Linked DNA regions of Canis lupus familiaris. The protein of the gene in region 3 purifies or fractionates together with the protein of the main gene of each other region. This does not show direct contact. Links are inferred from orthologs where the notes say so. Each region holds a gene or a part of one and is shown on either strand. Other genes may lie near its edges.

Evidence for each region.
Region 1: the proteins of GLMN (region 3) and CUL2 purify together in Homo sapiens (co-immunoprecipitation; 4 studies listed by BioGRID and IntAct, counting the BioPlex papers as one, with this or other methods). This does not show direct contact. The link is inferred for Canis lupus familiaris from reciprocal best matches to the Homo sapiens genes GLMN and CUL2.
Region 2: the proteins of GLMN (region 3) and CUL9 purify together in Homo sapiens (affinity purification with mass spectrometry; 3 studies listed by BioGRID and IntAct, counting the BioPlex papers as one, with this or other methods). This does not show direct contact. The link is inferred for Canis lupus familiaris from reciprocal best matches to the Homo sapiens genes GLMN and CUL9.
Region 4: the proteins of GLMN (region 3) and FKBP5 purify together in Homo sapiens (affinity purification with mass spectrometry; 3 studies listed by BioGRID and IntAct, with this or other methods). This does not show direct contact. The link is inferred for Canis lupus familiaris from reciprocal best matches to the Homo sapiens genes GLMN and FKBP5.
Region 5: the proteins of GLMN (region 3) and CUL7 purify together in Homo sapiens (affinity purification with mass spectrometry; 4 studies listed by BioGRID and IntAct, counting the BioPlex papers as one, with this or other methods). This does not show direct contact. The link is inferred for Canis lupus familiaris from reciprocal best matches to the Homo sapiens genes GLMN and CUL7.
Region 6: the proteins of GLMN (region 3) and CUL4B purify together in Homo sapiens (affinity purification with mass spectrometry; 3 studies listed by BioGRID and IntAct, counting the BioPlex papers as one, with this or other methods). This does not show direct contact. The link is inferred for Canis lupus familiaris from reciprocal best matches to the Homo sapiens genes GLMN and CUL4B.

What each region holds. Positions count from the first base shown.
Region 1 is NC_049223.1:2,206,943-2,211,862, reverse strand, and holds part of CUL2 (cullin-2), read right to left. Parts: intron 2,841-4,920; coding exon 2,638-2,840; intron 548-2,637; coding exon 446-547; intron 1-445.
Region 2 is NC_049233.1:11,876,250-11,881,169, forward strand, and holds part of CUL9 (cullin-9), read left to right. Parts: coding exon 1-147; intron 148-235; coding exon 236-341; intron 342-882; coding exon 883-1,110; intron 1,111-1,395; coding exon 1,396-1,486; intron 1,487-1,607; coding exon 1,608-1,779; intron 1,780-4,114; coding exon 4,115-4,220; intron 4,221-4,499; coding exon 4,500-4,595; intron 4,596-4,843; coding exon 4,844-4,920. UniProt on the Homo sapiens protein: Core component of a Cul9-RING ubiquitin-protein ligase complex composed of CUL9 and RBX1. The CUL9-RBX1 complex mediates ubiquitination and subsequent degradation of BIRC5 and is required to maintain microtubule dynamics and genome integrity.
Region 3 is NC_049227.1:57,125,113-57,130,458, reverse strand, and holds the start of GLMN (glomulin), read right to left. Parts: upstream 3,188-5,346; 5' UTR 3,114-3,187; intron 655-3,113; coding exon of another isoform or gene 566-654; intron 1-565. Other genes in the region: putative RNA polymerase II subunit B1 CTD phosphatase RPAP2, read left to right, coding at 566-654.
Region 4 is NC_049233.1:4,961,470-4,966,389, forward strand, and holds part of FKBP5 (peptidyl-prolyl cis-trans isomerase FKBP5), read right to left. Parts: intron 2,959-4,920; exon of another isoform or gene 2,956-2,958; 5' UTR 2,934-2,955; coding exon 2,829-2,933; intron 1-2,828. UniProt on the Homo sapiens protein: Immunophilin protein with PPIase and co-chaperone activities. Component of unligated steroid receptors heterocomplexes through interaction with heat-shock protein 90 (HSP90).
Region 5 is NC_049233.1:11,758,611-11,764,289, forward strand, and holds the start of CUL7 (cullin-7), read right to left. Parts: upstream 3,812-5,679; 5' UTR 3,561-3,811; intron 2,720-3,560; 5' UTR 2,712-2,719; coding exon 2,132-2,711; intron 1,367-2,131; coding exon 1,215-1,366; intron 1,071-1,214; coding exon 570-1,070; intron 51-569; coding exon 1-50. Other genes in the region: MRPL2 (39S ribosomal protein L2, mitochondrial), read right to left, coding at 4,327-4,539, 4,887-5,074, 5,260-5,370, 5,445-5,560, 5,668-5,679. UniProt on the Homo sapiens protein: Core component of the 3M and Cul7-RING(FBXW8) complexes, which mediate the ubiquitination and subsequent proteasomal degradation of target proteins. Core component of the 3M complex, a complex required to regulate microtubule dynamics and genome integrity.
Region 6 is NC_049260.1:93,256,027-93,260,946, reverse strand, and holds part of CUL4B (cullin-4B), read left to right. Parts: intron 1-652; exon of another isoform or gene 653-762; coding exon of another isoform or gene 763-790; intron 791-1,541; coding exon 1,542-2,084; intron 2,085-2,253; exon of another isoform or gene 2,254-2,357; coding exon of another isoform or gene 2,358-2,379; intron 2,380-4,179; coding exon 4,180-4,295; intron 4,296-4,920.

The DNA.
Region 1 (4,920 bases), on a different chromosome or scaffold from region 3:
TCAGGTTATAATCTCAGGGTCCTGGGACTGAGCCCCGCATAGGGTTCCCTGCTCCGGGGAGAGTCTGCCTCTCCCCCTGCTTGTGCTCTCTCTGTCTCTTTCTCAAGTTAATAAATAACATCTTTAAAAATAAATAGGAATTTCTGTGAAGAATGCAAAGCAATGCTCTGCATTTTAATATAGTCTAAAAGTATGACTATACTGCAATACCTTTTCCCTTAGATATCTATTATATTATACATTACTCTTAGATATCTATTATTTTTATAATCTAAAATACTGGCAGAGGTTTGGTTTGCAAGGTTTAGTAAGCTCAAAGAATAAATCATAAAAAAGGCATCACATTATTAATTTTGATGTGCAAAGTTTTCCATTATCTCAGTTACCGCTTGTGAAGTCCAATGTTTAAATATTTCCCAAAGAAATGACATTAAAAATCACTCACCTGTGGTGTGTCTTTCTGCATCGATGTAGTAATTTTAAATTTTGTTCTTTTACTGCTAAAGTTCATATTTAATGAAAATGAAGATTCTGTATCAATGTCTTCCTATAATTGAAAATAATGCATGTATATTTATAAAAATTAAAACAATTAAATAAGAGTTGCTGCAAATAAAATATCATAAAATTAAATGACCAAGCAAGACTAAACGCTCATCATTTTACATTATAAAGATTATTTAAGAGAAAAACAACTGTCTTCTGTAAAATAAAGAAAGAAGCAAATATCAATTCTTTTCTAATTTTATACTTGAATTTTAATCTGTTTAGATTTAGAAATAAGCTATGGCCCAACTAATATATATAACCATCGGATAAAGAGTCAAATTGTCTTAAACAGAATTTAACACTTTAATTCTTTTTTTTTAACACTTTAATTCTTATGAACTACTAGGCTCATAATTTATGTCACCCTATTTTGAAAAAGTGAGCAACCAAATGTCTTTTAAAGTGCTGCAATAAGAAAATACGTATACGTATTATAAATAACCCGACAACAGAAACAAGTAGTGTCCAGTGGCATACACGGCTTTAGTATGGTTCTTATGAAGTTTACCCTCGAATTCATGTTTTACTGTCTGCCAGAAGCACGTGGCCTCTTTTCAAGTGAAAGTTGTTAAGTCAATTTTTATAATCACAACTATCAAGCTTATGAAAGCCACTCTGATCACACATGGTGTTTTCTCCATTAGCAAGATCAAAAAGCACTTAGCAAATGAATTCATTCTCAATAATAAGCTAAGAAGTTCTGCTAAGGAACAGCAGATTCATAGTTAAAATTTATGTGCAAACAAGCAATCATCTATATTTTGTACATTCCCGGGCAGCAAAAATAATACATTTTAGAAAATACATAATGTCTTAAGTACTTAATTTAGCTTATAAACTTAAACTTTTTAGGTTATAAGCTTAAAAATTCATGCTTAATGATTGACTCAATTAAAATCTTAATATTAAGAATTTAATATTTTGTTAAGATTCTGAAATCAAAAATTAATTTCTCAGTATTAAGAAAAGCTTGATTTGAATTTCAAAATATATGCCATTTAAAACTATTTAATTATAGGCTACAAAATATCATCCAGCAGGGGCGCTTGGAGGGTATAGTTGGTTAAGCGTCTGACTCTTGGTTTCAGCTCAGGTCATGATCTCAGGGTTATGAGATTGAGACCTGTGTTGGGCTCCACATTCAGCAGGGAATCTGCTTAGGATTCTCTTCTCCCTCTGCCTCTCCTGCCACCCCCCAAATAAATAAATCTTTAAAAATATATATCATTAATTAAGTGAACTGATGACAGAAATAGTAGGCTATTAACTTCACCAAAATAAAAATGATGTCTGATTTATAAGAATTTTTTCTTACAGGCACAATTCGAATTAGGAGATTTAACTCACATCTGTTGCTTTTGAATCATTTAAATATCCAGGATATATATATATATATACTATAACAGTAACAAAAACGTGTTACTAGGGAAAAAAAGCTATTAAGAAAAGTAGTATATTCCTGGCTTGCTATTCTTGTGACAATATATTTGTACTACAAATATATGGTGGTTATTAGTTGAGTCCTGGACTGAAGGGACAGAAGAGTGAGAGCATTCAGAATTGTCACACAAGCTAAATATACATATAAATAATATCAATAGTCATTTTCTATTAGAACCATGTAATTAAATAATTAAATATCAATTAAACACATGTGAAAAAAATCAGGAAGATTTAGGATATGCTATTGTTTTTAGCCTCAATTAACCAGAATCCAGCCAATTATAAAGGGCACAGAGGCACCAACTTCTCTGTGATTCCACAAGCTCACAGCTCTAAGTAGCCAGCAGTATTGCTAGCTGACTCCAGTGCTTTCCAAAGTACAAAGGGTATTACTGATTATAATCTTACTTTAAAAACTGCAAACGTCTCAAGCTATAATGTTTATAATGCTTAAATTCCTCGAAATAGGGATGGAGCGTTTGCCTTCAGCTCAGGGTATTATCCCAGGATCCGGGATTGGGTCCCGCATCAGGCTCCCTGTGAGGAGCCTGCTTCTCTCTCTGTCTATGTCTCTGCCTCTCTGTCTCTCATGAATAAATAAATCAATCTTTAAAAAAAAGAATTCCTTGAAATATTACCCCATACCTTTTCTGAATCATGGTTAATCATTTTCACATCAAGTAATGATTTGATTGTTTTTGTCAGTTCCTTTTCATTCATTTGAGTGCTGTCTTGAAGTTCTTTATAGCTGACAGTTTCACTGTTGTTAAAGGCAAGAAGAACTGCCATTTGGTATGTAGTAACCATGGCTACATATGGTTTGCCCAAATAGTTCATTTTAACTTCACCTACAATTAAAACAAAATTGTGACAATAAACTGATCATTCAAAGAAATATTTCAAAGTTGTTTGAGTAATAATTATTTATTTCAGCTACTTTCTCCTGAAAGAATGAGCCAAGGACTTACTAAATTGTTACTAGCAGTGTAATCAGTTTATTTGTTTCGGGGGATCGGAGGGAGGGCTATTAGTTTTGAGTATGCAGTATAAATCACAATTAAACTATCAGACCTCTACCAGTGTGTAACAATGTCTTTAAGTGTTAATAGGAAAGCTAAGACCTGGACAAGAAAAAAGCAGAAACAGGAGGTGAGGGCAGGAGAAATGGACAAAAGGAGAGAATGACAGCAGGTGACCAGTAATGGCTTTATGTGCTGCCTCTATCTTGGTTCAAGCACTCAGGGAGGTCCACAGGTGTAAAGGAGATGCTTCTCCAGTGGCTCCATCTAACCCACAGCTTCTGCTAAAATTTAACAATGCTACTTTATCTCATAAACATCATTCTTCCCAGTAACTTTCTAGGGTCATACAAATGGGAGGAGAGACAAAAAGAAAGATCCATTATTTTGTGGAAATAGTTGATAGAACAAAAAAGCTCTAGATTCTATGCCAACCTGAAAGCTATAAAGGATACAGCAGGTTTAGGCACACTACGGTTCTGGGACATTCCAGAGGGACAGCACACTAAAAAGTTTGTAACAAACAGTATGACAAACATGTACATGTATGCACTCTGTAACACATAAAATAAAAAGCTAATGCAAGTCAACAAACTGTTTCCTAAAGCATAAAGCTGTAGTTTAGTGACTGTATTTGTCTTTCTCATATACACACCCCCTGCATTATTCAACTGTCAATGGATTATAAACTAAACCGCTACAGATCTAGTTTTAGAGCTCTACATTTTAACTTAAGGGAGCTGTATGAACCTTCATGAACCTACCCCAGAGGCTACATTCTCCCTGTTAGTAGTAATTAGTAACTCTGATCAAGATTTTGTGGTTCCTTTATTTATATATATATATATAATTAAACATTTTAAAAAGATAGTCAATTCTCCAACTTACTATGACACAGATGGCTATTCAAACTTTCATTATGCCTCAACCTATTTCAGAAACAACCGTTATTCAGATAATTATTTGGAAACACCTAAAAAAAATTCCTTGTCTCTGAATTTTCATGAAAGGTGGTTAATAATAATGAATTAGAATAATCAATTCACACAAAATAGTTTAAGTAAAAAGTTAATATTAGGAGTATCCTACCAACATTAGCACAAAGAATATTTTAAGGACTTTCATTTCAACATTTAAGTTTGGGAAATGTGGTGAAAAGTCAAATATCACATAAATTGTTAGCATTTGTGCAATGACTGTTTAATCATATGTCAGAAACAAGTATGGAATAATGCATCAAGCACCTAGATGATGAAGTAGGACCACCAGGCTACCCATCACTGATGCTGTCAGGGCCCAGAATGAGCCCCCTGCCACACCCAACAACAGTCTTTTATCACCATCAGAACCCAAGGAGCATTAGGAGACAACACAAGTAAAGGGTCAAAATATCATTTATTTATTATTAAGTTCATTCTGCAACACTAGAAAAACTAGTTAGCACTCTATTAAAACTTTTTTCCTGTTTTTTTAATTGTCAGCATTAGGGGTACATGGGCCTCTTGCCTCCTTTTCAGCACTATTATCTTACAAGTTCACAGTTGAATAGATTGGGAAAACGATAGAGGGCATATGTGGGGCAAGGAAGGACATCTCAAATTTGCACGATTCATTTAATTACTGCCGTGTAAACAGAAAAGGAAAATGACAAAACAGTTCATTTAACCTGCAGAATAGTTTGGCAAACTCGATGAAACTTCAAACTAGAATAAAGCATTCTGATACACATATACTTTAAAAAATACACCAAATATAACTGAAGACATATTTACAACTCATTACAAGGAAGTAATGAGTGGGCAGAACTCATAGTTTCATCCAAATTACTCTCCTTTACTGACAGCTCCTTAGTCTCTAAGGGAAAGCTTTTCTTTACAGAAGAAAGTCAGTTATTAAATGCTGAATGAAT
Region 2 (4,920 bases), on a different chromosome or scaffold from region 3:
ACGAGTGCTGTGCCATGAGGGCGGCCCCAGCGGTGCCATGAGGCCCCTCCTCAAGCGCCTCCAGCAGGAGACCCAGCCCTTCCTCCTGCTGCTGAGGACTCTGGACGCCCCAGGGCCCAACAAAACTCTGCTGCTGACTGCACTGAGGTGAGGGGCCTGTTGGGGCACCCATGTATCAGAGGCCAGGGGAGCTGGCAGACTGCAGGGATTTTGCTTGTCTCCATCCCCCAACCAGGGTCATGACCCGGCTGCTGGATCACCCCGAGGCGATGGTCCTCCCCTGGCACGAGGTCTTGGAGCCCTGCCTCAACTGTCTCAGTGGCCCTAGCAGTGACTCTGAGGTACCAGAGCCCTGGCAAGTGCAGGGGAGGGAATGGCAGCTTCTGGGGGCATCAGCTACCTTGTAAGGCTCTGGAAGGCAAAGCGCAACCTTTTTGGGTGGGTCTGAAGGCAGAGGGGTAATTAGGAAGGAATGACATATCAGAGTCCTGAGAACTGGGGCCTTGGAAGTATAAATTTGTTGGCTGCAGCTGCATTTTAGATTCTGAGTTTGGGAGAAGCCCACATTCACCGATCTAAACATTCCTCACTCTCTACCTTTTCGGGTTTATGTGTTTTAGACCAAGGCTCAGGCACCAAGGCAGGCTCTTGAGAGCTTCGCCCTGGCAGGAAGAAGCATTGGGAGCTGTGCCTAGGCTCTGCCGGCTCTGGAGTCCCAACACCCTACTGCTCTATCCCAACCTTTGGTACTCTCCTTTTCCTGGGCTTTCAGGCTTCTCCGAAAACTCATCTGCCACATTCTTTTTTCTAAACCCACCCCTCATCCCTTATGTGGCCTGCCTTTTGTTTCCCATATGTTAATCTCTGTGGCTCTGGGCTCAGATTGTTCAGGAGCTGCTCTACTTTCTGCATCGCCTGGCCTCAATGCATAAGGACTATGCTGTGGTTCTCTGCTGCCTGGGAGCCAAAGAGGCCCTCTCCAAAGTCCTAGACAAGCACTCGGCTCAGCTGCTGCTGGCCTGTGAGCTTCGGGACCTGGTGACAGAGTGTGAAAAACATGCCCAACTCTACAGTAACCTCACGTCCAGCATCCTGGCTGGCTGCATTCAGGTGAGGAGGTGTGTGGGTCCAGAGCTGAGGGAGAACATAAACCAGAAGCAGGGGAAGAGGATTCATTGTGGGTCCTCCTTTGGTAACCCTATTTGGCACAAATGGTAGCAAATCTGGGGCACTTGTTTCCCCAGTCTTTACCCCACATGGTCCTGTTCTGCCAAAATGTGTGAAGAGAGAGGTTGAGTGTTTTGTTGCCCCTTGACTTGTTCTCCATACATGTTTCTGTATGTTCACACTCTTCCCTCCTCCCCATACCCCTTCTCTCCACTGTTCCCACTGCAGATGGTGCTGGGCCAGATCGAAGACCACCGACGAACCCACCAACCCATCAACATCCCCTTCTTTGACGTGTTTCTCAGGCATCTCTGCCAGGGTCTGTGCCCCAATCTGCTTTCTTCTGGCTTCCACCCCAGTATTTGTTTTCCCCGTCTCTTTCCTTTCTTCTCTCTCAACTAACTAGACTGTGATGGCCACCCCCTCCCACTTACCCCTAGGCTCCAGTGTGGAAGTGAAGGAGGACAAGTGCTGGGAGAAGGTGGAGGTGTCCTCCAACCCGCACCGGGCCAGCAAGCTGACGGACCGCAACCCCAAGACCTACTGGGAGTCCAACGGCAGCACTGGCTCCCATTACATCACCTTGCACATGCACCGTGGTGTTCTTGTTAGGTATGAACATGCTCATGTGCACATATGCATACACACACGCGTGAATATTTTGATACACCCCAGTATACATTCTCCAAGCACCCACATATGTGACTCTATAAACCCTATGCGTTAGAGACACACTCAAACCCATCCTGTGCAGTGAATAGATAGACACATAGATCTACATTCCTTGTATAGTATAGACATTCTTACTCCCTGAGCCTGTTGACATGCTCCTCCTACTAGGGACAGATGTGCATGGTGTTGTGGGAAGTTGATTCTTTCCATGGGTGCTTGCTTAATGTATACTCTGTGCCAGGCACTGGGCCAGGGTCTAGGGCTATAAGGACAATTAGATATAGTACCCATCCTCAGGGAACTTGTGGTCTTGTTGGGGAGTTAGTCTGGAAAATCAGTAAGAGTAAGAAAAAGTGATGTGGACCCTGAGGCCAAGTGAGAGGTGAGAGAAGTCTTCCAGAAGGAGATGTTAAATGAGTTCTTTCAAAGTAGAAATTAGCTATATAAAGAGAGGCAGTGGCTACTCCAGGCAGAGGGATAGCATCTGTGTAAAATGGAAGTAAGAAACACAGTGATGTATTTGGGGGAAGTTTAAGTGACTGGCTGGAATGAAGGGTGTGTGTTGGGCAGTCAGGGTGGCTCAGTGGTTTAGTGCTGCCTTCAGCCCAGGGCCTGATCCTAGAGACCTGGGATTGAGTCCCATGTCAGGCTCCTACATGGAGCCTGCTTCTCCCTCTACCTATGTGTCTGCCTCTCTCTCTCTCTCATGAATAAATAAATAAAATCTTAAAAAAAAAAAAAAGAAGGATGTGTGTCATGAAAAATAGCAAGAGACAAAGCCAGAAAACTAGGTAGAGCCAGACCACAGAGTTTTGTAAGCTAAGTAGTTTGAACACTATTCTGAAACTGAGGGAGCCACTAAAGGATTTTAAGAATACAAGAGACAGGGGATCCCTGGGTGGCACAGCGGTTTGGCGCCTGCCTTTGGCCCAGGGCACGATCCTGGAGACCCGGGATCGAATCCCACATCAGGCTCCCGGTGCATGGAGCCTGCTTCTCCCTCTGCCTATGTCTCTGCCTCTCTCTCTCTCTCTGTGTGACTTCATAAATAAATAAATAAATAAATAATTAAAAAAAATAAAATATATATTTAAAAAAAAAAAGAATACAAGAGACAAAACTGAATTCTTTTCTTTTTTCTTTTCTTTCTTTTCTTTTTCTTTTCTAGAAAAGTCACCCTGGTGATTATGAGAGTTTGGGTTGAAGGCCAGAGTTGGAAGGTTTATGCGGTGGTCTCGTTGAGAAATGAATGTTTTCAGGATGCCTGGGTGGCTCAGTGGTTGGGCGCCTGCCTTTGGCCCAGGTTGTGATTCCGGGATTCGGGATTCTCTCTCTCTGTGTGTCTCTCATGAATAACTAAATAAATCTTAAAAAAAAAAAAAAAAAAAAAATGAATGTTTTCAGTTAGGCAGAGGGAATGGAAATAAGGAAGGAGTAGCAGACAGATCTCAAGTCTACAGGATGTGCCACTGACATGAGGGAAGCCATGAGCCAGAGAAGTCACATAGTTTAATGTGAATACTCTAGTGAGATGGCAGTTTTCTTCCCTAGAGGACTGTAGGAAGAAGAGCAGACCTCTGTGGATAGATAATGGTTCCTTTTGGGCATGTTGACTTTGAGGTGCCTATGGAGTGTGATATGGAAACGTCTGCTGGGTACACAGCATGAAAGCTGAGAGGAGCCATCTAGGGTAGAGATGTGGATTTGGAGTCATTAGGGAATTGGTTTTTGGTTGAAACTATGGTGTTTTTTTTTTTTTCTTTTTTAAAAGATTTTATTTATTCATGAGAGACACAGAAAGAAGCAGAGATAGAAGCAGGCTCTCTGTGGGGAGCCTGATGTGGGACTCAATCTCAGGACCCCAGGATTACGCTGTTCCTGAAGGCAGACACTCAACCACCGAGCCATCCAGGCATCCTGAAACTATGATTTTAAATAAAGTCACTTTGATGGAAGATAGAGCAGAGGCTCTGGGGAAGACTAACACTTAAGGAGGCAGCGGGATGGGGGTCTGAGGAGGAAGTAGTGGGTTGAAGTCATTTTTTAAAAAATTTTTTATTTATCTATTCATGAGCGATAGAGAGGGAGAGACAGGCAGAGGGAGAAGCAGGTTCCATGCAGGGAGCCTGAGGTGGGACTCGATCCTGGCTCCCCAGGATCACACCCTGGGCTGTAGGCAGCACTAAACCGCTGCACCACCGAGGCTGCCCAGGTTGAAGTCATTTTGAACAAAGACCAAGGCCCCAGGTCTAAATGATTGTTTTTCCTCTCCCAGGCAGCTGACTTTGCTCGTGGCCAGTGAGGACTCAAGTTACATGCCGGCAAGGGTGGTGGTGTTCGGAGGTGACAGTGCCAGCTGCATCAGCACTGAGCTCAACACGGTGGGGACCCTGGTGCCCCTCTTGACCTTACTCCCCATCTTTCTATCCCAGGACCTCCTGGGAAGGATCCAGTCCCTGGGAGATTCCCATGTTCCTTTCCCCAGGCAGGCTTTGCCTCCTAAGCAGTGAGAGCAGAGCTCAGCATGCAAATTTGCGTGGTTCCATGGGTTTAGGACAGAAGTAAAGAGCACACACTGTCACAGGATTTGGTTGCTGTCAGTAGTTCCTCCAGCCCCACTTCTGGAGGTGATAGTTCTTTCTCCTCCCCTACCCCATCAGGTCAATGTGATGCCCTCCGCCAGCCGGGTGATCCTCCTGGAGAACCTGAACCGTTTCTGGCCCATCATCCAGATCCGCATAAAGCGCTGCCAGCAGGTAGGGTTAGGGGAGAGGCCGGGCTGGGGATCATGGGGTAGCATAGGGTCTTCATAGTGATTGCATTACCCAGCATTTGCGTGCCAGGCTCAGGCCACACATCTTCTTGGGGATGGCCTAGGAGCCTGTTGAGTTTGAGTATCTCCAGGGAACTCAGGGCATGAGGCCTGGCTCTTTTTTTTTTTTTTTTTCTTCAGTGCTTGTTGGCTGGGTGGCTAAGGTAATAGACAAGTCTGTGCATGTTACAGGGCGGCATCGACACCCGGGTTCGAGGTGTGGAGGTCCTGGGCCCCAAGCCCACTTTCTGGCCACTATTCCGGGAGCA
Region 3 (5,346 bases):
ATAAATATAGAAACTACACCTCCATGAATCTGAAAAATATAATGTGGAACAAAAAAAATCCCAGAAAATATAGCAGTACAATTATATTTAGACAAAGTTTAAAATTAGGCAAAACTGAATGATATCTTTGTAGGTATGTATATATAGATAGCAGTACTAAAGAAAAGCAAGGGAGTTAGGAACACACAATGTATGATAGTGGGGAATATGGAAGGTGATGCTATCTGGGACAGACACATCGAGAGCTTCAAAGGTATTATACATTATTTCTTACCTTGGGTTGTGGACTCATGGGTTTTCTTTTTTTTTTTTTTTTTTGATAGTCACACAGAGAGAGAGAGAGGCAGAGACATAGGCAGAGGGAGAAGCAGGCTCCATGCGCCGGGAGCCCGACGTGGGATTCGATCCTGGGTCTCCAGGATCGCGCCCTGGGCCAAAGGCAGGCGCTAAACCACTGTGCCACCCAGGAATCCCCGGTTTTCATTATTTGAACTATGTTTTCAGTACATAAGTTGTGTTTCATAGTAAGAATGAAATAATTTGCTAATTAAAAAATTTTTTTCAGTGCTTTTGCAGCAACTTTTGTTACAAAGCATCTAAGTTTTTTGAAGCACAAATTCCTAAAACTCCAGTATGGGTTCGAGAAGAGGAAAGGTAATTTAAATCATTACATATAATTTGTTGATATATTCCAGCTTTCTGAGATATGTAGAGAGTAGTGCTAGTTTTCTGTAGGATGTTACCATTGTATACATTTTAATTGTGGGGAAATGCTTTTATTTTAAGCATAGTTATTAAGGATTTTACACTTAAAATCAGAAAATTAATAAATATAAATGGTGTTTCTTTGCTGTTTTCGTTTTTTAAAGATTTTATTTATTTATTCATGAGAGACACAGAGAGAGAGAGAGAAAGAGAGGCAGAGACACAGGCAGAGGGAGAAGCAGGCTCCATGCAGGGAGCCCAACGTGGGACTCGATCCCGGGTCTCCAGGATCACGCCCTGGGCCGAAGGCGTCACTAAACTGCTGGGCCACCTGGGCTGCCCCTGCTGTTTTAGTTTTAATCACAAAACCTGAACGTCACTTCTGCTATGTTAGTTATTTCTATTAACTCTATTAGTATAATAATCTTAGAGTAAGAATGTTAAAGTTTTCAAGTAGATACTAGATCTTAGGATCCAACTGAATTTTGTTAGAAAACTATGTACTAAAAAACAACTATGTACAAAGGTTAAAAAGTTCAGGTTACTAATTCACTCACTATTAAAAATCAGTACAGTATTTTTTTAATTTAAACAAATCCAATATAATTTTTAGCAAAAAAATATTATGAACATTCCTGGGGTTTTGCCTCTTAGGAAATGTTTAAACTTTTACAACATTTCAGTAGTTGCTGAATTTGAGAGAAAATTTATTATTGAGGGGCAAATGCCATATGTAGAAAAGGTAACAAAAATTGTTATGTAATTGAACTATGTTGTCCAATTTCAAACAAGGTTAAATGAAATAATGTCCCAAATAACTCATGTTTCATAGAGAATATTGCAACACAAGGCATGTGGTAAAAGAGTATCAATGCTAAATGAACTTAATGACATAAACATAATGAGATGCAAGTTAACTAAAGACCTTTGCCTAAAGAAAAAAACTTATTTAAGTGTTATCTGATGCACAAGGTAATATGAAACCACTGTAGTTTGAACTAGCATCATTTGTACTGAGGGACAGTCCTGTTGTTGGCTGACACCTTTGCCTGCAGATCCAATGCTGTGTGGTTTAGAATATGTAAAGGGGCGCCTGAGTGTCTCAGTCAGTTAAGCGTCTGACTCTTGATTTCAGCTCAGATCATGATCTCAGGGTTGTGAGTTCAAGTGCTGTGTTGTACTCTGCACTCAATGTGGAGTCCACTTACGATTCTTTCTCCTTCTTTCCCGACTGCCCCTCATTCACACACACTTTCTTAAAAATAAATATATATATAGAGAGAGAATATGTTAAGCACACCACTCTATGACCTTTGTTAATTGAATTACACATAATGAAGACAAACTTGTTCACTACTTCTCTACTAGCCTTTCTTATTTGAAGGATAAAGGATTGTAGCATTGTCGAAGGTGACTGGGGACCTAAGAGTACCTTCTTAACTATTACTTTTCTTTTTCTCCTTTCTTAATGTTTGTTTCAACAGAGCTGCTTATTGCCTCCTCAGTCTTAGGACAGCTGCACATATTCCATTCCCCAGCTGTTAAAATCAGTGTTTTCTTAAGTTATCCTTAACATTGTTTCCAGTGATATCTTCTCTAGTTAAACTTAGCCCATCCTCATATCTGCTTCAAAACTATTTACCAAACCACCCTTCCTGTCATCTTGATATTCTTCAGATACACTTATTGGTACTTCCTTCAGCTAATCTAAAACAGTTTTTCCCAAAATCTTATTCTATGTTCAGAACGCCCACCTTTTCCCAGAATGTGAAGCTCTGTCACTTTATGCTTGGGGTTCTTGAAATTCTACTTTATATGCCCTTCCCTACCTCACTAAAAAAGAAAGATGAAAATGGCATTGGTTTCCCTAATTTAGACAAATCAATTTAATTTACATTCAGTGTATATAATGTGAGCTTAGTATCCAACAGGCTACCCACACCTGTACAAACAACACACACACTTATGAAACCAAACCTGTGAGTTTAAATTGAAATGTTAATGGAATGGCATAACAAGCACACAAATGAAACAAATTTACTTATTCTAATGAGGACAAGTATTGGGGAGCCTTCAAATGCTATTGAACAGAATTTGATCTGACACTGGTGTACAAAATGAATTAAAGAAGAAAAGATCATAATTAAAGAGCTGAAAGGCCCTTAGGGACAATTTAACACAACATCTTTATCAAATAAGCTCAGAAAGATTAACTGTATTTCTTAAGCGAGTGATAGGTTCTCAACAATACCAGGATTCCAGTTGTTTAAAAGTAACTAGTGAGTAACCTATAAATATATAATTGTATACAGTTATACTACATGTATAATGGTAGCCCTTATTTTTGTATGATTCTTGTTAGTATATAACCATATTAGTATCTTTTATATCTCCAGTATCAGGTTTACCTTAATTTATAAATTCTTACTGGCAAGCATTATGTCAGTTTATTTCATGAATCCACTAGAGGTCACTGTGTCTTCAGAGAATGTTTGATATTTTTAAGTGTTCCAAAGATCAGAATTCTAGAATTCAGTATTCTTTTAAAAAGCCTTTCCAGCTGTTGCATATGTAAGCTCTACAGAAATGTGATTTTTAAAGTCTGCTCACATACAGTATCAGGTATATAATGTTAAATAATACCATTCAGAACCTATCTTTTTTTTTTCCAAAGATTTTATTTATTTATTCATGAGAGACACAGAAAGAGAGAGGCAAAGACACGGACAGAGGGAGAAGCAGGCTCCATGCAGGAAGCCCAATGTGGGACTCGATCCCAATACCACAGGATCATGCCCTAAGCCAAAGGCTTAACAGCTGAGTAACAGCTGAGCCACCCAGGTGTCTCAGAACCTATCTTCTTTTAAAGGGGAAAAAATTGTTGCTTTTAAATGGCAGGATTTAGTATTTAAGGAAGAGATGTTTTCATTAGTTTAAAGTGTCATCATACTAAATCATATCACCATAATTAAGTCATAATTATTTTGTTTTATTATTTATTTTATTAATATTAATAACTATTGAATACTTAAAATTTAAAAAAATAAGAGCAAATTTTAAAATCCACTCAAAGAATTGAATATTTTATTGCACTGACCACCATAGTATACTTTACATTATAATCCAGTACATGCATATTACTGTCAGTCTGTTATCAACACTAAGCCTTAGTTTCCTCATTTGCAAAGTAGAAAGTTGCATTAATCTCTTAGTTCCCTTTAGTTCTAGTGTTTTACAGTCTGAGTCAGTCACTGTCACCATAGTAAAAGTTTAGATAGGAAATGTTTTATTTATAAAAGTGATGAAAATTAAAATTATCGGCATAAGACTAGGGAAAGTCTGTAAAGAAGGCTGATAAAGGGTAAGATCAAAGTTTTTCAATTCTGAAGAAAAACCAGGAATGTTTTATAGCATGTCCAGAACAACTTGAAGTTGACATCTTCAGGGAAACCATGATCTTGCACACTATTTGGAAATAGAATATTGAATTTGACTCAGTTTAGTTTGTCTTATATTGTTGTGAAAGCTAATATAATTTACCAGATACCAAAATACTAAAATCTGTAGTGTCTTTTAACATTTCTAAAATACTATTTTATACCATAGAAAGCTCTCTACCCTGATAATAAACACATATAGATAGATTTTAAAAAGATTTAGACAAATCCATGAATTCTAGCTCCATACTTCTGTTGAGGCTTTGGAATCGGAAGGGGCCTTTGGAGTTTTCTACTCCCTCATTTTTATTATTAAAGTATGAAAAATATCTGGAGTAGAATCTTTAATGTCACGAGAACGGCCGTGTTTCCCACAAAATGTCTCCTGATACTGTCTCAGAGACAAAACATTGACCTAGATGACTTAGATCATGACGCAGTATGATGCTTCTCATGTTGTGAGTTAGAAATTTTTCACCCACTTGGTGGCCAGAAACAGACCACATACACTTAAATTCCTCTGAGACAGTGTACTCATTTAGATAGTCATATAGTTATACTTATAAAATCTGTTTTGTTTGAATGTAGACTCTGACAAGTCTTGGAAGTTTCTTTATAACCTAAAAAATCAGGAGTTAAAACTAAGAAGGACAAATGTTGAGAATCAAATTATGGTTTGAAAAATAAAATTGGGGTGAATTGTTAATGCTGACAGAGCTAAAAGCGCCATCATGTGGCCCAGAATAGGGGATTTTCACACATGCTTCTTGGCAATAAACAGTATAATCTCAGAGGTGCGGAAGCCAAAAACCTCTGCAGAACAACTTCTATAACCTCTTCCTGAACAGCCACTTCTGTTGCTTAGTATACAGAATAAAAACTTTCTGAAAGAGGTTTTAACATGTCTCATTATATTTGGAAAATCTCCACCACAGGGGGGAATTGTAGCCTGCTGCTTCTGTTGATTTATGTATAATACACCTATTCTGACCAACACAAACACATATATCTATATGCATACATTCAAAGAAGGTTTTTTGGCACAAGTTATTTCTAATTTTAGGTTTCTTTTGCTAAAGTTACAATTGATCATCTAATTTATACTTCAGTGAAAATAATATGAAATGTTTATGAAGAACCAGTTTGAAGATATTCTGTAACATGATTATTTTTGTTTTTTAAGTTCAGCTCATGTCGATTAGAT
Region 4 (4,920 bases), on a different chromosome or scaffold from region 3:
AAGATGTATCCTCCCAGCCCCACCCTCATATCACCACATAAACACTGTAAGCTTATATTCTACAATTTTCTAGTTCAAAAGTCCAGATATTCTTTAAAGGAAAAGAATCATTATCACAGCTCCACCAAAAACCTGTTAGAACTAATCATTAATGAATTCAGTAAAGCAGGAGGATACAGAATCAACACACAGAAATCAGCTGTTTTTCTACACACTCATAACAGGGATATATCTGAAAAAGAAATAATGAAAACAATCGAGAAATGCAAGTCAAACCCACAAGATACTACCTCATCTGTTAGAATGGCTAAGATTAAAAAGACAAGAAATAACAAGTATTAGTGAGGTTTTGGAGAAAAGAGAATACTCGTGCACTGTTGGTGGGAATGTAAGTTAGTGAAGCCACTGTGGAAAACAGTGTGACCATTCCTCAAAAAATTAAAAACAGGACTACCATACAATCCAGCAATTCCACTTCTGGGTATTTCTCTGAGGAAAACGAAAACACTAGCTCACGAAGACATATGTACCTCCTATGTTCATTGCAACATTATGTACAATAGCTAAGCTATGGAAATAACCTAAGTGTCCACAGAGAAACGAATGGATGAAGAAAATGTAGTATGTATATTATATACACAGTGAAATGTTAATCCAGCCATAAAAAAAGAATAAAATCTTGCCATCGTGACAACATGAATGGACCTTGAGAGTATTACGCTAAGTGACAGAAAATCCTGTATGATCTCATTTATATGTGGAATCTAAAAAAGCTGACCTCACAAAAACAGAGAGTAGAAGGTTAGTTGTTAGGGGCTCTAGACTGGGAAAAATGGGAAGACATGAAGAGTTACTTTAAGTAGATGCTTTAAGGATACAATCTAGTCTTGATTCAGCTCCACAATGTAATTTTATTACTTTTATAGTAATAAAAGACATGACTACAGATGAGGCACTCTGCTAAATGCTTTATATAATCTCAATAACTATATGAGGTGGGTAGTATTATTCCAATTCTACAAATGAGGAAATCTCACCACAGAGAGGTTAACTAAAATGCCCTAGGTCATATAATTAGTAGACCTATTTAATCTTAACCAAAAGCCCCATGGTGCTAGACAGGGATAAATTATAGGATTTAAAAGGCTTAGGATCCCAAAATGTTTCTTACAAACCTAAAAATCTTATCGGATTTACTCCCTGGAATAATACAGGGCTGGAGGCATATTGGGGACTATGTTCTCTGTATGGGTGCATGGAAAAGATGAAAGAGAAGGACTTAACCAGAGCAGGGAGATGCCGAGGACAGCCTGCAGATATCTATTGTCTCTAGAAGCATCCTGGAGTTCAGGATAGGTAATTCATACAGGTTAAGAAGCCCTATGGAGGGATCCCTGGGTGGCGCAGCGGTTTAGCGCCTGCCTTTGGCCCGGGGCGCGATCCTGGAGACCCGGGATTGAATCCCACGTCGGGCTCCCTGCGTGGAGCCTGCTTAGCCCTCTGCCTGTGTCTCTGCCTCTCTCTCTCTCTCTCTGTGTGACTATCATGAATAAATAAATAAAATCTTAAAAAAAAAAAAAAAAAAAAAAAAAAGAAGCCCTATGGAAAAAGACAGCGGTATATAACTCTAAGACATAAAACCCCTATTTCCAGAGTTGAAAGTCCCCAAAATTTGGCTTTGCATGTACGTGGCAAGCTAACAGTAAAACGTATATTCAGAAGACTCAGGCACAGGAAGAAAGCTTTCACATAAGCAAGACTAGACAAACTAAAAAATTCCCATTTGCTGCTGCTGCTGACACAAGGAAATATTGAAATTCAGCTTAGTGATGATATTTAGAACGTGTAAGATAATCTTTTCAGCAAGAAAAAAAACTATACAAACTTGTATGAGTAACAACAGTGTAGGAGAAATAATGACCTAATATGACTAAATTCATTTAACCTCTCTCAGCTCCACTTTATTTACTTACCTGGAATACCAATATATACCTTCCATAAATAAAATGGAAAGTTCAAGAGGTGCTCTGATTATCTCACAAGACCATTGTGAGACACAAATAAAAACACACATGTAGATGTGATTAATTATAGAGTGAAAAAGATATAGTGTGTTTTAATGAGGAAAGCTAATTCAAAGGTAAGATATATTCTCTGATGAAATCTCAAAAAATACCTTCACTGCACAAATAACAATTTGCATGTGAAAAAAATCCCTTTGAACTTTAGCAAGTTACCTTTTCTTTTTCCTCTAAGTCTTTTGAATTGTCACCAATTAGCTTTAATATACTGAAATATTATGTTAAAATAATAACCCATGTGTACGCTCTGAGAACTGGGAGACAGAGCCTTCTAGAGTCACACATAACTTGGATCTGGACCCCATTCATTTACCTGGCTGGGCCTCAGTCTCACCATCTATAATTTGGGATTTTTTTAAAAGATTTTTTATTTATTTATTCATGAGAGACACAAAGAGAGAGAGAGAAAGGCAGAGACACAGGCAGAGAGAGAAGCAGGATCCATGCAGGGAGCCTGATGTGGGACTCGATCCCAGGACCCCAGGATCATGCCCTGGGCCAAAGGCAGGCGCTAAACCACTGAGCCACCCAGGGATCCCTCCATTTTTAAAATATAATTTGGGATTAAAACAAACTTCAAGTCATGAAGATGAAATGAAAAATGGTTGTAGTGTTTAGCACTTAGGTAAGCCTCAATAAACATTATTGACCTCCACCTTCCAGCCAAAAGAAAAAAAGAAAGATTTTTATAAATTATCCTTCCAGACAGCAAATTTCCCTGCATGTCATTCATCCTTGTAACCTCACCTTTAATACTCCTCTATCTTTTTTTGAGGTGATATCCTCTCCACGTTCAGCCACAGCTGCTGCTGGGTTTTCTCCACTGTTCTTGGCACCTTCATCAGTAGTCATTGTCTTTTATAAGCAAGAAAACCTGCTGAGAAGAAACATATTTTAACTTAGAAAAATAGCACTGCTATGAACATCTGAAAGTGCCCCTACATATGTATGGGCTTTCCCTGATCTAAGATTTACATAGGGCCAATAAAGTTAAATGCTGAAAATGAAAGCAAAAACACTTGTCATGAGCATGTATTGATGTCATGTGGTATGTACATAAAACACCATCCAACTCTTTAATTTCCCATCCAGCACTGGTCCCAAACTAGAGAGCAGTACAAATCAGGTTTGGTAGTGATTATATTCCTTAACATTATTACACACCGAGAAGCAGTACTTTAGAACTCTGAAAATGTCTTTTTCCTATAGTCATATTTTTGACAGAGAATTAAGAACTTATCAAGTGATCTGATTTTTAAGATGACAATATACAGGGGCACTTGGCTAGCTCAGTAGTTAAGCATCCAACTCGATTTCAGCTCAGGTCGTGATCTCATGGATCATGGGGTCAAGTCCCACATCAGGCTCCACGCTCAGTGGGGAATCTGCTGGAAGATCCTTTCCCTCTGCCCCTCCTGCCACTTGTGCACACTCACCCTCTCACTTTCTCTCTCAAAAATAAATAAACCTTTTTTCCCTTTTAATGGCAATATAGCATAGTGGTAAACAGAACAGGCTTTAGAAGCTGACAGACCCCAGTCCAAGTCTTAGCTCCAGCAATATCTGTCCAACACCTGCAAACTTAATCTCGCTGAGCCTCAATTTCACATCTGTAAAAGGGATGGAGTACATTGTTCATGGAGTTACTGTGAGGCATTAATGAGACAATGTATGTGAAGAGATTAGCACAAATCATAACTTAGAATTTTAAGTATTTATCATGCTTATTATGGGTCCTCTTTGGAGCTACATTTTTTATCTCCTGCTCAAAATATCTACAGAATGAGGTTCTTCCCTAGCATGGCAGTTGAGGCCCTTCACAATCTGATCCTAACTTATCTTTCAGAGGTCTAGCTTCCACCACTTTCTTTTACTTTCTTTCATGCAGCTCATGCTCGAGCCAAACGAGAGTAATTCCTAACTAAAGCAAAGCCCACTGCTTTCCCATCTCCATGCTTTTGGCCTCTCATCTTCTTCTCCAAACACTCCTCCCTCTTCAATTCTTCCTTCATCATACCAATCCTGACCCTATACTTGGAAGTTGTTTGCACTTTTCTGTGCTATCATATATTTATAAGAAGACACACTGGATGGATTTAAAAGAAACCTTGAGAGCAAGGGCCATGTTTTGTTCATATTGAGATCCTCTAGAATGCCTCCACCTCTCAGACTGCTAAAACGAAAAGAGCAAGGAATTTGGAGCTCCTTACAAGATGTTTGATGTTGGCTATCTCTAACTTTTCGAAGCCTTTTCTCCCACCTATGTAATTGGGATAATATCTACTTTCACAGGGTGATCTTCTGGATTAAATGGTATAACGTGTATTTCTAGAAGTATACATTCTGAAGTGGGCTCTTACTATCAGTCACCCAAATGACAAGCACTTTTTCATGCATGGCAAACCAAACCAATGGGCCAATCAAACAAAACACACCTCACTGTCTGCTGCCATGATTAATTCTACACTGCTCTCCTGGTTGAGCGGGGAAAGTCAAGAATGAATCACTTCTATAGCTATTCCCTATTAGACTAATAATGAATAAAGCTCCCCTAAAGTCAATATGGAATAATAGTACACTGCTGTGTTTTAAACTCATTTCCAATTGACCTAAATTTATTTCAGTGTCAACAAAGACACAAATCAAATTCTGCTGTGCCCAAAAATCTTCAAAGAGAACACCAAAAACCAGGGGCTAAGCCCCTTTGCTTTATTTTCTAGTACAGTTTATACCAAACACAAAAGATCCAAATGCTTGGCTCAGGATAAGGGAGAGGCCAGAACAAAGCATTCTCAAACAAACAACAACAGAAATTAAGTACCCAGCTGTATATGATGCT
Region 5 (5,679 bases), on a different chromosome or scaffold from region 3:
AGCATGTGCCAGTGCACCCAGTAGGTGCGGCCCGTCGACTCCCACAACACCTGGTGGATATGGGAAAAAAGAGAGGGAAGAAGAGATGGCTCACTTCAAGACTGGCTATGCTGTGGCCCAGTGATGAGGACATACAGCCCTCAGGCTGACCACCTGGCCAGGTTTAGAGCAACCTCCAAAGAACACAATGCTGGCATACGGAGAACACACACACACAAAGGATGACCTGTCCTATGGGAATAGGCTCTGCTTCTCCTCCCACCCACTCGTCCCCACACTTCCTCCTGGCCTCAGCTACTCTCTCTCTGACCCTGACCTTTGGGAGAGTCTTGCTTTATCAGTTTTTTTCCTGGGAGTGAGTCTTCCTGACCTCATAGCCTACCCAACCCTGATTTTCTCAGCCCTCCAAATGGCCCCCTTCTCACCTCCCTGACCTCTTTTCACCACTCCAATCCCCACAGGGTTTTTTTTTTTTCCATGGGTGGCCTGCCAGAGCCCCCTGTATGGAAGCCCCAGTTATGCTCCCCCAGCTAGAGCCCTGACAGCATCTCACACATGTCTTGGCTCACCTGCACGGGGGGCATGCCGTTGTTGCTCTGACGGAACTCTCCCTCATCCCCAGCGCTGACCTCCTCGTAGTCATCCAGCATGCGCACTCGCATCCCAGCCTGCAGCGTCTCTCGCACATACAAGGCATAAGTATTGCCACTTGCAAACTCAGAGCGAGGGCGGAACCTCCTTGACCTCCTAATGGAGGGCTGGGCCCGGGTGGGTGGCAGCCCGGGGCCAGCCTCTGCCAGTTGGGGCTGGAAGATGGAGCAGGAGGACCGTGCCAAAGGCCTTTGTCTGCTCAAGGCCCAGTCCCAGCGCATGGCCTGCACCAGCTCTGAGATCAAGGTGCCCATGGCCATGCTGAACTCCAGCTCCAGTCGATCCCTTTCCCCACTCAACTCCTCGGGACCAGAGTTGTTCTGGGCTCCTGGTTCTGCAGCACTGTCATTCAGCTGGTCCAGAAGGGAAGTGACGTGCAAATAGCGCTTCACCAGGGAGAAGAGTAGCCTTCCTGGGACCTGTAGGATGCAATCTTTGGCCTACATCCACCTTGTCCCAGCTTTAGCTCCTCTTTCCACACCATCCTTTAAGGGCAGGTAAAAAGGCTTGGTACTTCGGTCTTGTTTATAGCACCCCCCTACCGAAACCTCCCCACAGAATACCTGTGGCAGCTGGATGCCTTCGAAAGACATAGGGTGTTCAGAGAGTGTGGCCTGTGCAAACAAAGCTAGTAGAGCACAGCGGCTGTCAAAATCCAGGTGTTTCTCAATGGCCTCTTGCTGGCTTAGTGACAGAAGGATCTGGGTCCGAGTCCCTGAAACTCACACCCAGTCAGTAACTGCTCACATTGCCCTTCCGGGCATCCCTCCTAGACCCTCTTCTCTCTCAGTCCAATCCCTTTGTCACCCTTTGGGGATGAAATGTTTTGCTAATTAGCTTAAAAAAAACTTACTATCTTTCCTATATTCATATTTCATATACATATATATCCTACAGTAATCAAATACCTTAACTCTTCCTTTGCGTAGAGATTCGATTAATGTGAGATTCTTGAGGATTCAGTCCTTTCTCTTTCTTTTCTAATTTTTTTTAAAGTAAACTCTAGGGATCCACTCTGGGTGGCTCAGTGGTTTAGCACCAGTGGTTTAGCACCTGCCTCAGGCCTAGGGCATGATCCTGGAGACTCAGGATCGACTCCCACATCGGGCTCCCTGCATGGAGCCTGTTTCTCCCTCTACCTATGTCTCTGCCCACCCCTATGAATAAATAAATTAATTAAATAATAAATAAATAAATGTAAACTCTATGCCCCAAAAGGTGAACTTACAACCCTGAGATGAAGAGTTGCATGCTCTTCTGAATGAGCCAGTCAGGCACTCCCTCACCCAACCCACAACCTGTCCCTTCCTCTTCCTACAGAGATGTCCCTATCTACCTTCCTATCTCCTTTTCTTCCAACTCAAAGAGAAGGACAACAGAATTATTCAGGCACTGATGAGGCAGAGGCTCTTGCCACAGTGTCATGTGAGGCCCCAAGCTAACCAGCTTCCCCTTCTTTTCTCCCCACACTGTTCCTCACCAGCATCATGGGAGGCCAGGGCTTGTATCATCCGGCCTGCACTCCAGCGAATCTGATAATCAGGACTACTCAACATGTGCATGAGCAGGTCCAGGACCCTTGGGTCTTTGAATACCCCAGTCAGGGGCTCAATGCTGGCATAGGCGCTGAGTACATGGACAGTGTGAAGTAAAGGAGCAGGAGGGATGGTACCCACACACTCTTCCAGCTGCCGGAGGGCCCTCTGAATTAAAGACTTCACATCAGTTTCCATTTCCCCCAACACAGATTTGTCCAGGGCCCCAGCCTCCCCTGTGATCTCCTGAGAGGGGCCGATGACCTGGCCGTCCTCGCCCAGCATCTTGTGGCAGTTGGCATAGATCTCGTCGTTGGACATCCACAGTAGGATATGCTCAGCCTTGCAGTCCACTTGGCTAGAGCCCCCTTCCCCTTCATCCCCACGCCTGAGGATGAGCCAGCGGATCTGGTACTCAGGATGCCCATCGTGGCCTACCCGCTGGCGGATCAGCTCATCTGGGTAGGCATGCAAGCCAGGTCCCAGAGGCACTCTGAATTCCCTGTAGCGGAGTTCCCCCACCATTCTGGCACCTGAGACACACAAGGAAAAGAGAACAGGCAAGCTAAAATGAGAGTGGGAGTTCAGAAAATCAAGGACGTCCAGGAATTGGGGAAGCAAATGTGGTAACAGCTGTCCAGTTGGCTGGAGTAAAGCAGGGCCCAGGAGTTGCCTGCTGCAGGCTGGGTGGGGCCAGACCTAAGCAGGGGAACACTGGGGTGTTTGTTCTAAGAACACAAAATTTGGTTGAAAGGGGGTTTTGAAGGCCCTGCAAACTGGAGTGGGTTGGTTTGGAGCAGTGGGAAGGGGACAGTGTGGGCAGGGCAACCTTGGAGTTACAAGTGAATCCCAAGGCCCTGGGACAGGCAGCAGCCCTGAGGAGATAAATAAAGCCCGGAGGGGTGTGGGGGTGGGCTATGTGTGTTGGGGAGTGAGACCCTGAGTGCCTGGAAAAGGACATTAGGTCTGATGGTTGAAGCGCAGGAGTGTGTCAAAGAGACAAGAGATCCGGAGAATTGTCGGTGGGTTGGGGTGGGGTGAGGGCAAGGCGCGATGGGCCGGGAGGAGACGCTGGTGGGCAGCAGAGGCGAGGACTGGGGACACTGGAGCAGCAGGGCCGGTGGGGGCGACGGGAGACCCAGGACGGGGTGCACAGGAGACACGGTGGGTGAGCGGCGAGAGGCAGGTGGACCCGAGGAGCTGGGGGCGCGTGGGAAGGTGCAGGGGAGGAGGCTAGACGGGATAAACGAGAACCCCAAGGCACTGTGGAAGTAGGATAGGGGGACGCGAGATCGAGCGGGCGCGGGGCCGGTGGGCGAGTGTGCAGAGGAAAACCCAGGGTAGGGGCAGGGGCCGCGGCGGGGCTCTGGCCACCTCAGAAGTCGATGGGGGTCCCGGCGCGAGGCCTGTCCTTCGCTGAGCTAGGGACGCAGCGCAGACGATGGCGGCGATGCTGGCAGAGGTTTGGGCCCCGCCTGGGCCCCCGAGGGGGTCTAAGCGGAGAGGCGGGAGGCGGCGTGCCTCCGAAGGACGGGCGGGGGCGTGGCGCGCAGAGACCGAGCACCCCCGGGCGGCCACTGTCACCGCCCGCGCGCACAGGTCAGCGGCCGCCGGGGCGAGGCGGGACCGGGCTCAGCCAGCGGCGCCGCCCGCCCAGCTCTGGGGCTCCGCCACCCGCCCGGAGCTGCGGCTCATTTCCGCTGACCCAGCGGAAAGCTGGGGGCCCTAGGAGAGCGCTGGGGCGGAGTCGCCGGTGCCACCTCGGCAACGGGCGGCACCTTTTCCTCTGCGCCGCCCTTTCCTCTTCCTTTCCGTATTCCCTCCTCCCACCGGAAGTGTTCTCTCCAATTCCCGAAGTCAGAACCGAAGAAGACCTTGGAGGTCATTTATTCCTCCTCCTCCCATTATATTTAAAAAAAAACAAAAAAACAAAAAAACCCCCACGAGTCGGGGGTGGGTGGGGTGGCTAGAAAAGAGGGGAAGAGCTCCAGTCTTCGCCGCATAACGTCCTTTCCTTTCTCTTCCATCCTTGTTTGCACCTGTGTTCCCCCACTCCCCCAGGTCTAGTATGTACCATCCTCCCTCCCCAAAAAACAGTAACAGATAAAAATAGGAGCGATTTTATTAGAATTCAGCGATATCAGTTTTGGGCAGCTGCCGAAGGCAGCTTGACATAACTCTTCATGGGAGGCAATGGTCGAATCTTGCGGCCAGCCCAGCCCCCCTTTCGGTGCCATAGCCCGCTGGAAGGCCTCTTGCCCAGCCAGCGGTTCCGCCCAGCCTTGCCGATGACCCGTTTGTTATGATCAACGTTGGATACCCGGCCCACTGTTGCCATGCACGTTTCCAGAACCTGACGGAGAAAGCGGATGGAGGAGAATGCACCACTGGGAAAGAACATGACGTTGATTTCCTGACTCTGGGGAGGCTTCTTACACTCACTGAGAGAAGGGAGAGGACAGGAAAAAACCACAGCATCATCGAACCTGAGTGCAGGTCCTATGGTAATTTGAAAACAAAAGGCACTATTCCCTCTCCCATTATAGTGCCAGCCTGACAGGGCATGCCTGGTCACATGGCAGAAAAGGACACACCTAGCTCAGGGTGGTTCCTAAAACACCTGGGAACTATCCCAGACAAGAAAGGTGCATTCCGATAATTCCTCCTTTGCTGATCCCTCCCACCTATACTCACACACACCTGCATCTGCCTCTTGGATGGCAGCTGGATGATGGCTGTCCCATTCACTTTCCGAAGCAGCACACCACATGTCCCTGGGGAAGAGGGAAGCCACTTTGCTGTCTTCCACAAACGAGGAGGCGGGGGAAAATTTACAGGGCGACATAGCCCATACCCTGACCTTGCTTTGCCCTTTAGGAACAGATACCCTGAAGTAGGATGCACACAATGTTTTAGGTCAAAACACAAGCACCTCTCCACTCTCGTTTTTCTTCTTTTTTTCTGCCAGAGGACTACATGTGGGGCCAGGACTTCAGAGAATTGTGACCTCAGGTACCCTTTGGTCTTCCAAATTTTAAGACTCCCCATCCCAAAGCAGCTCCTTTCCTCATACCTGCGGCTCGGATATACTGGGCCCCCCGGCCAGGCTCACTCTCCACGTTGTTGATGAGGGTTCCCACAGGCAAGGCCCCAAGAGGATGTGCATCCCCTTCCCGAGCAGCAACTAAAAGACAGAACTTCATCAGCACCAGACCCCTTGCATCCTCCGGGCCCATACACATCTGGCGGCACTCTTACCTGCCATTCGGCCTATGTGGTCAGAGTTCAGGATTATATCTCCAGCCTGCATGTTTTCTGTGGCAACGATCCAGCGTTTCCGGCTACCCCCAGCAACCAGAGCTATGTCTGCTGATCTGTGAGGGGTGAAGACATATGAGCAGATGATCTAGGCAGCCCTACATGTTCTGAAAAGCCACAGATGAATCATTCAGCCACACCATCATCTCACATCCCAACTTGCCTACAGGGATCA
Region 6 (4,920 bases), on a different chromosome or scaffold from region 3:
GTCTGTAAATTACTGGATTGACAACGGAGGAGATCAGGGTTGGGCTTGGTCCTGGGAACTGTGTTCTGTGTGTGTGTGTGGGGGGGGGGTGTTAGTTACCTTCCTGTTTCTTGGGCCTTATAATGCACCCTCAACTCTGGCCAGCCATCTTAGAAAAATGCTCCTGTTAGGAAGGTCAAAAGATTTGTAGCTACATTACTCAGAAAGGTACCAAAATTCAGGTCCTTTTCATATTGGGTTAGGGGCGTCCTTGACATAAGATAAACAATGCATAGGTCAATCGAAGCAAAAACTCATTTTCTCTCTAAGATCTTTTTCTTTTCCTTTCCTATTTTAACATCATGACATTCCTGCTTGGCAGCAGGCATAATGCTATGATTATGTTTTCCTCCATTTCGGGTTACTCCCCTTGCCTTGCAACCCCTCCTTATTCCTTTATCTCTTTCAAAGTTTCCATTCTCCGCTCCCTAACTTTTTATTCCCTCCCTTCTTCTCTTCCTCCTCCTCCTTTTTCCCAGCTAGCTCACCCCGCCCCTCACCGTCACCACCTTCCCTCCCCTTCAGGCTCCTTCCCGCTGCTTCTCCCGCCACCTTCCCCCCACCCCGCCCGCCTCGCGTTCAGAAAGCTCCAATCAGCAACTCGGGAGGTGTCTCAAAAGCCCGCCCCCTCCTCCCTTTCCACTTCTCTTCCCCCCCTTTCTCCCTCCCCCATCCCCCCCCACTCAAGTCCTGCGGACCTGGGGGCTTCGGGACCTGGGCGCTATGAAAAGTGTCTGCCCAGTCACTTCCGGTAAGGGCGCTGCAGCGCGAAGCTCCCCGCGGGACCGTTAAGGAGGGGGTGGCAGTTACTGGCGGGCCAGGGAAGAAGAGTGCTGCCAGGGAGAGGGAGCGGGAGGGGGGGCAGCGAGAGCGAGAGAAGGAGCACGACCGTCTGGGGCGCCTTAGCCGCCGCTTTCCCGCCGCCTCCCTCCCAGCCAGCTCCCCCGCCCCCCGGGCGCCTGCAGTGCTTCTCTCCACCCCCCACTCCCGGGGACAGACGCCGCCCCTCCCTCGCCGCCGCGTGACCGGAAGTGGCGCCATCTTTAGCCTCTTGTGCTATTGACAATAACAAGCCCTGGTTCTCTCCCCCTCCCCCTTCCCCCTCCCCCCAACCACGGCATCTCCCCTCCCAGAGAGAGGGAGAAAAGGAGGAGGAGCTGCAGCCTCACAGACTCACTGAGTCGCTCCTGCAGAAAGGGGGGAGAGAGACCGAAAAGCAGGGGAGGGGGACGGCACGGCCGTTTACCTGTCTGCCTCCTCATTCGCTCTCCCCCCTCGTTCTGCTCACTCCTGGTGTCAGCCTATCCGCCTTCCCAAACCCTCCCATTCCCCCGGTGTAGCCCCCCCTTCACTTTCCTTCTCGTCCTCTGTGTTTCTCCTCTCTTTCTTCCCTTCCCCCCTCTAGCATTGCCACCTTCTCTCCTACACGCACGCAGGCATATAAACGTAGGTTTTTGATGCTCCTCTGCCTGTTGACCCCGCTATTTTCATGTTTCCAACAGGTTTTTCTTCCCCCAATCCCTCAGCTGCTGCTGCTGCTCAGGAGGTCAGATCTGCCACTGATGGTAATACCAGCACCACTCCGCCCACCTCTGCCAAGAAGAGAAAGTTAAACAGCAGCAGCAGTAGCAGCAGTAACAGTAGTAACGAGAGAGAAGACTTTGATTCCACCTCTTCCTCCTCATCCACTCCTCCTTTACAACCCAGGGATTCGGCATCCCCTTCAACCTCGTCCTTCTGCCTGGGGGTTTCAGTGGCTACTTCCAGCCACGTACCGATACAGAAGAAGCTGCGTTTTGAAGACACCCTGGAGTTTGTAGGGTTTGATGCGAAGATGGCTGAGGAATCCTCCTCCTCTTCCTCCTCATCTTCACCAACTGCTGCAACATCTCAGCAGCAGCAACTTAAAAATAAGAGTATATTAATCTCTTCTGTGGCTTCGGTGCATCACGCAAACGGCCTAGCCAAATCTTCTACCACCACTTCTAGCTTTGCTAACAGCAAGCCTGGGTCTGCTAAGAAGTTAGTGATCAAGAACTTTAAAGGTAACCAAGGCCAAAATCCATAATCACTGACTAAGGATTTGACACTTGAGCGGTCACGTGCTCTATTTATGTTAATATATTAAACAGTATAGAGGTGGCCTAATGTTTTATGCATAATCAATGAGGTGGAGGGAGGTCCTTTTTTGGGTGGAGGGTTCATTTTCCGGGGGTGGTTAGTATTCTTGTGCTGAAGCATACACCGGCGTGTTTCTGTGCAGTATTTGATGTCTGGCTCAGTTTAATCTGTTACTCAGTGTAACATTGCCAGTCGGTATGATTGATCTGGATTATACAGGTGAGAAATTTGTATTCTAAGGAGGTTTATTTGTTTCAGGTGCATAGTGAGCTTTGGCACTGCTGGGATTTTTATTTTTATGCTTCAGTAGGCCACATTCTCTAGTCCCTAGAAATGCAGGTAGCATTGGTGATCTTTTCATGCTCAAAGATGATTTATAGTTAGATTTATAATGTTGGATACTATATTCTTGAAACTCCTTGTGGAAGCAGTTTTGGAGAAAAATATTTATGATCTCTGCATATCTTTCCAAAGATAGGGTTTGGAAGTGAAAAATACTGTATACACAAAAGTAGTAACTCTGTGTACCACTAGTCTAAAGATAGGAACAATTACTACATCTATTTTTTTTTTCACTAAAATGGGCTTTAAAGTACTGACCTGCAGCTTTTAGGAAAATTTGTTCATTTCATGTTTGAGATATGTGATTAAGAGTATTATGAGTGCATTGATGCATGTAAAATCAACAATTTTTAAAAACATAATTGAAATGAATTACTTTTTTTCTGTTGACTGTATTTGTTTTTCTGACTTAAGTTTTTCGACATCCTTAACTGGCAGGTAATAGATGCTAAGATGTTTATTAAATACAAAAGTAAATGAATGAACTGAAGTAGTATTTACCAGATAAGTGTCTTGTGGCTAAATATCAGTATTGAGAAAATTAGATTCTCAGTGCTTGTGTTTTCAACATTAGTGTGGAAATCAGAAATATGCTCTATTTTGTCTAGAGCAGAGGGTTATAGTGTTTATTTTTAACCTTTTTTTCCTATCACTCCTCTCCCATCCCCAGGTTCTTAAGAGTGTTGTAATCTTTCTGATTTAATAGTAGACCTTTCTGAAGTAAATGTGAATTGTAATTGACTAATATGTTCACTGTTCCAAAGTATATCAATTTAACAGTCAAGGATTTTTAAAGAGAGGAGTTATGATCCTAATTTAATTTGCATACTGGTTTCTGAGATTTTGTTTGGGTTTTTTCTTTCCCTCTTAAACTAAAAACATATCCTTAAGGCATTAGGATATTTTAATTTAAAAAATACTCATTGCTGGTCAATGAAGTTTAAAGCCTGGCTTAAGGTAGTCCTGTCCATTCTGAAAATGCTACAGAGGTTCTGGAGTCATTTGGATGTTTTAATTTTTTTAAATTTTACTCTGCTCATGGATGTAGTTTAAATTAAAATCTGAGTTAAGATGTTTCTCTTCATTTGTAGATGGTGCATAAATGTGGGGGTCAAACAGAGTTGGGTTAGAATCTCAGTTTTGCCACTGATTAGCTTTAATGACCTTGGGCAAGCCTTACTAAATGAGTCTTCTAGCCTCAGTAGTTTTCTCCGTTGTAAGATAGAGATAAATAATACCTTCCTTAGAGCATTGTTAGGGAGATTAAGATGTTTGTAAGGTACTGTGTGCACAGTGGATATTCAGTATTTTAAATCTTAGGTGCAAAATTCATGTTGACTGACTTAGGATTTACATGTGATGGAATAAGATCGGGACTGTTTTTATCTGTGATTTTTGAATTTTGATTTTTTAAAGCAATACAGTCAATTGAAAAAAAAACCTCTCACCTTTAATTTTAATAGGTGAGTCAAAATGACTTAAACAGTATTCTGGCATTTCAAATTTTATTCTTTATGCTAAGGCTAAAAAGCAGTAATTACTTTAATAATTAGATGTTGTGATTATAAAAATCACAATTTACCCTTGAAAAGCAATAATACTATTACTGTACTTTAGTGGAGCCTTCCATTACTATATCCTACATATTCTGATATCAACCTTGTACATATCACCTAGATAAGCCTAAATTACCAGAGAACTACACAGATGAAACATGGCAGAAGCTGAAAGAAGCAGTGGAAGCTATCCAGAATAGTACTTCAATTAAGTACAATTTAGAAGAACTCTACCAGGTATGTATTAATGTGGATAACCAGATTTGGCAAGCATAAATTGAAGTAGTATGTAAAATATGGATTTTACTTTGAAATGACTCCTTATGTAGACTTTTGGTTTCCTTCTAATGAAAATGTCTTGATTTATGTACTCTGCTTTATAATCAGACCACATATTCTGACATACTCTAACATTCTGACATAAACTATGAGTATAGTCATACTGGTATATATTGGGTTTACCTTGGACCCTTCTGACTGGGATTTATAGTGAGGAATACCTTGGTATTATCAAGGGTTTACCTATAATGGAATCATACAGCCTGGATCCCAAAGGTGTGATTTCTGATGACAAGTCATTCTGTTATGGTACTTATCCCTAAGTGGTGTTACTCACCTATAGGAAAGGCCTCAAGAAATGTAGATATTCTCTATATGCTTTATCCTCCCTCATTCATATTAGTAGCCTTTTGCCATTTCTTTTTCCTTTAAAAAAATAGTTTATTCATGAGAGATACACAGAGAGAGGCAGAGGGAGAAACAGGCTCCTCTCAGGGAGCCCAATGTGGGACTCCTGGGTTGGGGATCATGCCCTGAGCCAAAGGCAGACACTCAATTGCTGAGCCACCCAGGCGTCCTTGCC